Drosophila melanogaster: one gene and its partner. The protein of the gene in region 1 binds, or shares a complex with, the protein of each later gene. Each region holds a gene or a part of one and is shown on either strand. Other genes may lie near its edges. A codon is read from its position in the direction of its gene.

Region 1 (3,752 bases):
TTTCAGGGGTTTCAATTTCTCAGCATGTGCTCGAATCGAAAGTTTAACGATGTGTTTTGGTACAAAGTATAAATATTTACGCTAACATAAAGGGGCAAACACTGCAAGCAGCAGGTGTCCACTTCGAAAAATAGAACAAACGGACTGCCAGTATTGTTTAAAAATATCTCAGGAATCATTCATATTGCTTTATGTTGTTGCAGCTCGTTTCTCTTACCATTCTTCCTTGCGAGTTCTCCGATCCATCCGACTGATTTCCGCTGGCCGAGTGATCGGAGGCGGTGGATCGAGCCTCCTCCTCGGTGGGTGAAGGCTCGGAGTCGGGCATTCCGAGTAGCTTTCGTAGATCGGAGATGTTCACCCTGGCTGTGCTTTCACCCACCGGGTCGTGCAGCTCCTTGGCCAGTTGAAGATGCTGTTCCGCATACTTTAGGGCCCGCTCATGACCACCGATGGCAGAGTGGGCATTGCCCAGTGACCAGCAGGCCCTGGCCTCACCAATTCGATCGCCCAACTCCTGGGCAATGGCCAAGTGTCGATTGTGATACTCGATGGCAGTGTTGAACTCGTGCAGCAACGTGTAGGTGTTGCCCAAGCTGTAGCAACTCTGGGCCTCCACTTCGCGTTCACCCAACTCAACGGCCAAAGCCAAGGTGCGTTTGTAGTGTTCGGCGGCGTCCTCGAATTGTCCCAGGAATATGTGCGAGTTGCCAAGATTACTGTTGGCCCTTCGCTCAGCCGCGCGATCACCAAACTCTCTGGCAATGCGCAGTCGCTCCTGATGATGCTCAATGGCCGCTTGGAAATCGCCTAGTAGGTAGTAGGTATTTCCCAGATTACCACAAGCTCGACCTTGAGCACCACGATCACCCAGATCCCGCATGAGCTTCAGATTCTCCTGGTAAAACTCCACGGCACGGGTGAGCGCCTCCTTGACATCGTCGCCGAACTTTCCAGGGTTTCTCTGACCCAAGTGCTTGCCCTTGGCGTGGTAGACATTTCCTAGGTTGTAAAGAGCGCGTCCCTCGGACAGACGATCTCCCAGCTGCCTGGCCAGCGTTAGGTGCCTCTCGCAACAGATGGCCGCCTCGTCGAAGCGACCCATTACCTTGAGGGTGTTGCCCAGATTGCCAGAGGACTTGGCCTCGCCCAGTCGGTCGTTCATGCTCTTGGCCAGCGTAAGATCGTGTTTGTGGTACTGCATCGCCTTGTTGTAGTCGCCTAGGTAGAAGTAGGCGTTGCCCAGCTGGGAGTAGATGGCGGACAGAGTGCGAAGATCCTCGGTTCCGGCCTGAATGGCCGCCTGGAAGAAGGCCACGCCCGCCCGGCAGTCACCCGCCTTGCAGAGGCGTTCACCCTCGAGGGCCAGTTCCAGGCACATACTGGATCCTCCGTCGGATCCGGAACCCTGCTGGGAGTTGCCGTCGTGGGAAGTAGTTCCTCCTCCGCCCGATCCCAGTCCCAAACTGGACACATTCTCCGCGGACGCAGAGAGCGAGGACATTCTGCTGCGAAGTCTCGCCTTTTTGTCGCGATGCTCCTTTTTGAGGGGCAGGTGCTCTGAAAACTGGGAGTTGTCCACTTTGCGGCGATGTTTTGGGGTCGATCTTTGGGGTTTTTAGCTAGCCTCTGGCTGGTTTTGAACTGCTGGTGGGTAAACTTAACTGCGACAGGTGAAATTTCAGCAATTAAGCGATCTTTTGTACCGTTTTTTTGACTAATTAGTGCGTTTCTGATTCACGACCAGTGTGACCGATTGGGGTCGATGAGAATACCAAGCAGATTAGAAAGAAATACCAACTTTATATGGTATGTCGTTGGATTTAAAAATAATATCTGTTATATTTTGTTTTAAGTCAATTGAACAATTTTAAATTACTTGTTATTTTTCCCCTACAACAAAGATACTATGAAAATTATATAAATAATATGCCTTTACCTCATGACCATAGCTTACATATCAGCAATATTTAGTAGCCCAATTGGTAATATTATATATATAATTACATTGTTTGATGGTTAATGTATGCATGCCGTTTGATTTAAAACTAATTTTTTTTTAACTTTAAGAAAAAGCAGTTTAAATTCATTTATTAGAATTCGAATTAGAAATCTTATCAGATGGTTGCCCTAATTTGAGAAATGTTAGCCACTGCAAGACCATAGCTTATAAAGGATCAATACTTATGAGCCAAGCTAAAACACAATTTTATCATAGTCTTTTCTTATTTTTGTAACGTATTAGTAAAATCTAAAATATATTGGCATAGTTAACATTTATCATTTTCGGTCAACAAGCCATAGCCCTCATCCCTATCAACCGTAGTTGGTAGCCAGCACTTTTGCAGACGCGCTTTGCAACACTAATCGCTTCAAAGATGGCGTCACTTCTACGGTGTCTGTGTGAACGATTCTAGTTGCCGCTGGAGAAAATTCGTAATTCTCGCATAAAGCGCACCTGCCGGTTACCAAAATCGATTGAAAAGCGAACGTCCCATATTGCGGCGCGATAAGCGGGTGAAATTGTGGCAGTGCGTGCGCGATAGACTGTTAGAAAAGCAGTGCAAATTGGAAGTCCGGATGCTCGAAGGTGTGTGTGTGCGTCGCTTTTTTTGTGCGGTTTTCAGCTGCAGTCGGCCAACAGTGCAACGCAAACATTGTGTTCTAAATTACATAAAGCAGGGAATTTCTGCACGAAGGCAACCGAAAAAAGGACTAAAAGGAAAAAATTAGCCACACAAAAGGAGAGCGAGTGCGACAGGGAAGGAGGGATACAGAGCGAGCGAGAGGTCGATAACGATAGCCTTGTTTGGTTATCGCCCTCGATAGGAAATAAAAACGGGAGAAAAACTTGAAAGCAGCGGCGTCTTTCAGTTCGCCGGTGTGCCCGTGCGTTGGATGGTATTTTGTGGTATTTTCATTCATTTTTGGGACTGTAGTGTGACCGTGTGTGGGAGAGAGCCGCCTAAATAGAGAGCGCGACGCGCAACAACAGTTTCTGTGGTGAGTTGAAACGAAACTCACCACGCTCTCACCCAGAAATCTGGCACAGTGGTCTCGAAACAAAAGCCAAATGAGTAATCGCACCTGGGGAATCTAGCTAAATATCAGCACCAAACAATTGAAAGTCAGCTAGATGAAAACAATAACAATAGTAATACTATTCGAAGTACTAATACTAATCAATTGGAGGCAGGCTTTTCGTTTGTGTGTGCCTGCTCCCTCTCGCGTATAGTATATACCCATGTGCCAGAGAGAGCAAGCCGAAAACGAAAAGAGAGCGCGAGAGTCGGACGAAGGAAAAAAATATCGCCACAGTTGCCGTATGCCGCCTTCGTCGTCGGTTGCAAAAGATATAGAAATCTTTTATATACACACATACGCAGTCGGTTTTTAATAAATTCTGCAGCGAAAATTCCAAGCCCGAATAAAGAAGGAGAAATAAAAGGCAACTAAACAAAGCCGAGTGCAAAATTAAAGCCAAATTTCCAAGGCGAATGCAAATTTTTCAAGTGCGCAGTAAGCGGCTAAATCCCCAGACGCAATTCGGTGTTTCAAAAGTTTTAATAAATAAATAAATATGTAATTACGCTCGCAATCCAGCCAGCCCGCACACACACACGCACACACAAATACACGCACGCAATCGGTTAGAATTCGTATGAGCATATATATTTTTTACTTATATTATTTTTAGAATATCGATTTTGTGCCGCGTGCGTGTGTGTGTCTCTCTCGCACCGAGTGTGTGT
Region 2 (3,752 bases), on another chromosome or scaffold:
TAACTTAGTTATATGAGTTTTAGTTTTGGAACTAAGCCAAGAACTTATAGTTCTTAGAAATATTCTAAAGATAAGATCATACTTGCTTGGTCTTGTTTAATTTCACATCTATGTAACAACCAAAATGGTGTTCCTTGCACTTAAGGTGGATACGTTTCTCTCAGTGTCCTTTTATGGCAGCTGCTCCGGCTGAACTGAGCTGAGCTGCGAGGCTCGTGCATTTCGTTAACGTGACAAAAATACATTGATTACATTTTTTTTAGCTGCACTCGACTCGGGGATCTGCGTTTTTGGGCTCTAGGAGCTAGGAGCTGGGATCTGGTAACTGGGAGCTGGAAAACTGGGTACTGGGTACTGGGAACTGGGACCTGGGCGCACGTCCGCACACTTGGCACATTTGTCAGGGCGACGCCGCGATGTAAACATCTTGCACGTAGGATCCGGGGTCCTTTTGCATCCTGGCTGGATGGCACGACAACTAGTTGTAGTTGGAATCGGAGTCCTCGTGCTGCACGGGGTCTTTGAACTGACAAATTACATTGACAACGAATGGGGCGAAATTCCATTCGTGTGCACTCTGAACTCCAACTCCTCTAGCTCCCCAGAACTGTCTCATTTTGTGAGGCTCCACACTGAAAAGTTTGGGGGTCAATGCCATGGCATTTCATATAAACAAAAAGTTAGGCATAACTGTCAGCAAGCAAATAAAATAAACAAATGTCAATAAATGACAATTGATTGTGCTTTTCAAAGTTTTCGGCCCAAACCATTATTAGTCAAATCAGATTGTCTATTTAGTTTACATTGTGTTAATGATTTAAAACTCTCGGTTTGGACACGATTTATTTGTATAGCCATTTGAAAATGGCATTTATTGTCATTTTTTTTTTTTATTGCTACGCGTTGTTAAAATTTCTTGAAAGGTGTCAATAGCAAACAGATGTTAAACGAGATACAGTATTGAATATTGGTTTTATTCTATGAATTTCGATCCTTCATAAGCGAAACATTGTTTTCATTTGTTAGTTTCAGTGCACTTTGTTCATTAGTTGTTTGTGGATTTAATTTGCTTACTTGGCTCTGTGCTTTTGCTTATTGTTTCAGTTAGTTTCGCAATTTGGAAACTATCTCAAATTGGCAATAGTGAAAAGAGCAAACACATCGTGGGCTCCTCTTAATTATTTTCACCGACGAACGGGTGGGCGATCGAACTCTTATGGCTGTAATAATTGGTGCAAAATTGTTCAATTGCCTAATTGCTGTCGATTGCTCATAATTTTTAGTGTAACACTGTGTATTTGTGGCACATTTTCGTTTTATGGCCACGAGCGTTCATGAATGAATGGGCTTTATTTACAGGGCATTTAAAAGTTTCGGGTAATCTTATCACCCAGAAGTGTTCAAACTTGCGCAAGTCATCAAACAAATTTCGAAACGGAAATACCAAAGGGTTGAAATAGTCTAAACGAAAAGATAACTGCCTTAAAATTGCGCCCAAAATTCGCACAAAATCGCAGTAACAATAACAAGCGAACCTAATCAAAAATCCAAAATCTCAGGCAGCTGCGCATGCGTAGCAGATGAAAGAGATAGCGAGAGATCGCACCTTTGAAAATGCTACCGGAACAGCTGGCGCAGAAGAGCGAGAGGGAAGACAGGAGTGAGTGATAAGAAATAGCAACAAAAGCGCATAAACCACCACCAACTACTACAACAACGAACGCGACAAAGCGAACAATGCTCTTCATTATGCCCGTTATTATTAAACAAATAGGGAGAGCGAAAGAGAGAAAGGTGAGAGCGCACCATGTTGATAACACACCCCGTGTAGCTAAAAGTTAGCCAGATTCACAATTAAAGGAGCTAGAAATGCTGATATATGCTCAATTTGATTTATGATCACCTATAAAAACTTGATACTGATAATAGCAGCTAATAATACTTTAATTTTCAGTACCTTAAGACACATAATTCAAAGTATGCACTCAATTAAAACATTGTATTAGATATCCTTAGCTAGAAAGTAGTCAAGCTGCCAGCACTGCCTACCTTACTCACCCAGGTAATTTGACTCCGACTCTCCGGCTTACTGCTCTCCCACCCCGGGAATTAGAAGTCTGAGTCGAAGTCGCCAACTGTAGCCGCTCATTCGATTCCCAGCAGTCGAAGCACGCAGACGCAACCGCTGCGATCGTCGCGAGATATTTGTGTTCGATCATTGTTTTCGTATCGTTCGGGTTAACCACGTTCGTTGAGTGTCGTGTCGACTTGTGTTTACCGTTGTGCAGTGTTAAACTATTTACGCTTTGTCTTGTGGGTGCAGCACCCCCACCACCCAGCCACCCACTACACATACGCACTGTCAAGTTTTGTGGTGCCCAAAAGTAATCAAATGACACGTGCTTGAAATACACATTTTACTATCCATCAGTGGCGGCCGAAACAACAACAAAAGCATAAGCCAAACTTGGGATTACCTCGGCATTGTTTATACAGGAAAGCGGTAAGTTTTGGCCACAATAAACCGTAAAGCACATTCGGAATGCTTTGACCCCAATAAGCTTAACAATAAACACAAATATTCAATACGATTCCGCATACGCCCCTCGTAATTACACATGCCTTAATTCACATAATCACAAACTACAGACATATGTATATATTTATGTACCTCCGCCCATTTATTGAAGTAAATTCCGATGGTTTTTATTTTTGCTCATTCGAGGACCTCGCTAAGCCGCGTTTTATGACTCAGGAGCCTCACAAAGTCAAAGTCGTCAGACCGCAAACTGATTTCGTTCGCTTTTCTCCGAATGTTCTTTATAACGTAGATCCCACAAATGAGTCATCCGTGCGCTTGGGGATACCGGAGTGGATACATAACTGCCTGAGATACGTATGTATCGTATAATTGGGGGAGGCAGTGGGCTAAGGTGACTGATCAGGTTGATGGGGAATGAATGAGCTGGGGGTGCTGGTGACTAAGCCCCCAGCATTGGATAACGCTAATTGGGTTGGGTAAAGAAATGTGTGCACACAGATGTGATAGTCTGCTGGCTAGGAAAGAGTCACCTCTAAGGCAGTTGTGAATGGGTTACATTGAATAACATTCCAGTCAGTCCTCAAAAATATCCAGTTATGTAGCTTGAAATAAAAAACATTTCTAAAAGAAGATTTTTAAGTTTCTTTGAATGTTTTGGTTGGTCTCTTACATTTTAATCAGCTTATGCATTTGAAGAAGTTGGCTTTCGCCACCTCGAATACTTGTTATCTCGACTCATCTGGAAACCTCAGAATATATCAGTGGCACGATTTCAATCTCACCGCATTGTGGTGTTTCGCAGATTTCCCTAATTTCAGTTTGCCCGCGCCTAATTGCAATAATCAAGGGAGCACCGCATAATCTCACTGATCTAGTTCCAGTTTAAGAGCGTTTCTGCGGTCTCGATGGCTCCATTAGAGTGCTAAACACCGGCCATTACGGCGGTCATCAGGAGAGGTGTTATTACCTGGACGTCTGGACGTGGAAACCAGTCGGCACTGGAAGTCACTCACCTGTTGCGGCCAAGAGATCGATATCATTGACAATTGGTGTCGACGGTAGCAGCAGTGGTATATAATGCCAGTTCGATATGTTGCTACCGTTAGATGGGAAATGCCAAAGCAATGATGATTGTCCATTTGAGTGGGATTAACGTTTAATTTGGCTTAGTTTATTGATTTTCCATCGAACAGGTCGGTTAAATGTCAGG

The links. The genes of interacting proteins can lie anywhere in the genome.
Region 2: the proteins of pins (region 1) and insc are in contact, whole or in part, in a crystal structure (PDB 5A7D), measured with the Drosophila melanogaster proteins. Residues at the interface, in NP_524999.2 of Drosophila melanogaster: Gly39 (codon at 1,390), Ser40 (codon at 1,387), Ser41 (codon at 1,384), Met42 (codon at 1,381), Leu44 (codon at 1,375), Glu45 (codon at 1,372), Leu46 (codon at 1,369), Ala47 (codon at 1,366), Leu48 (codon at 1,363), Glu49 (codon at 1,360), Glu51 (codon at 1,354), Ala64 (codon at 1,315), Phe65 (codon at 1,312), Ala68 (codon at 1,303), Asp76 (codon at 1,279), Arg78 (codon at 1,273), Thr79 (codon at 1,270), Ser81 (codon at 1,264), Ala82 (codon at 1,261), Ile83 (codon at 1,258), Ser85 (codon at 1,252), Gln86 (codon at 1,249), Asn89 (codon at 1,240), Phe92 (codon at 1,231), His104 (codon at 1,195), Asp107 (codon at 1,186), Ala111 (codon at 1,174), Gly119 (codon at 1,150), Lys122 (codon at 1,141), Ser123 (codon at 1,138); in NP_477024.1 of Drosophila melanogaster: His306, Pro307, Glu308, Pro309, Val310, Ser312, Trp313, Met314, Glu316, Gln317, Arg318, Trp319, Ala320, Gly321, Glu322, Pro323, Glu324, Val325, Met326, Cys327, Thr328, Leu329, Gln330, His331, Lys332, Ser333, Ile334, Ala335, Glu337, Ala338.

What each region holds. Positions count from the first base shown.
Region 1 is NT_033777.3:27,580,840-27,584,591, reverse strand, and holds the start of pins (partner of inscuteable), read right to left. Parts: upstream 1,753-3,752; 5' UTR 1,505-1,752; coding exon 218-1,504; intron 1-217.
Region 2 is NT_033778.4:20,834,421-20,838,172, reverse strand, and holds the start of insc (inscuteable), read left to right. Parts: upstream 1-2,144; 5' UTR 2,145-2,503; intron 2,504-3,752.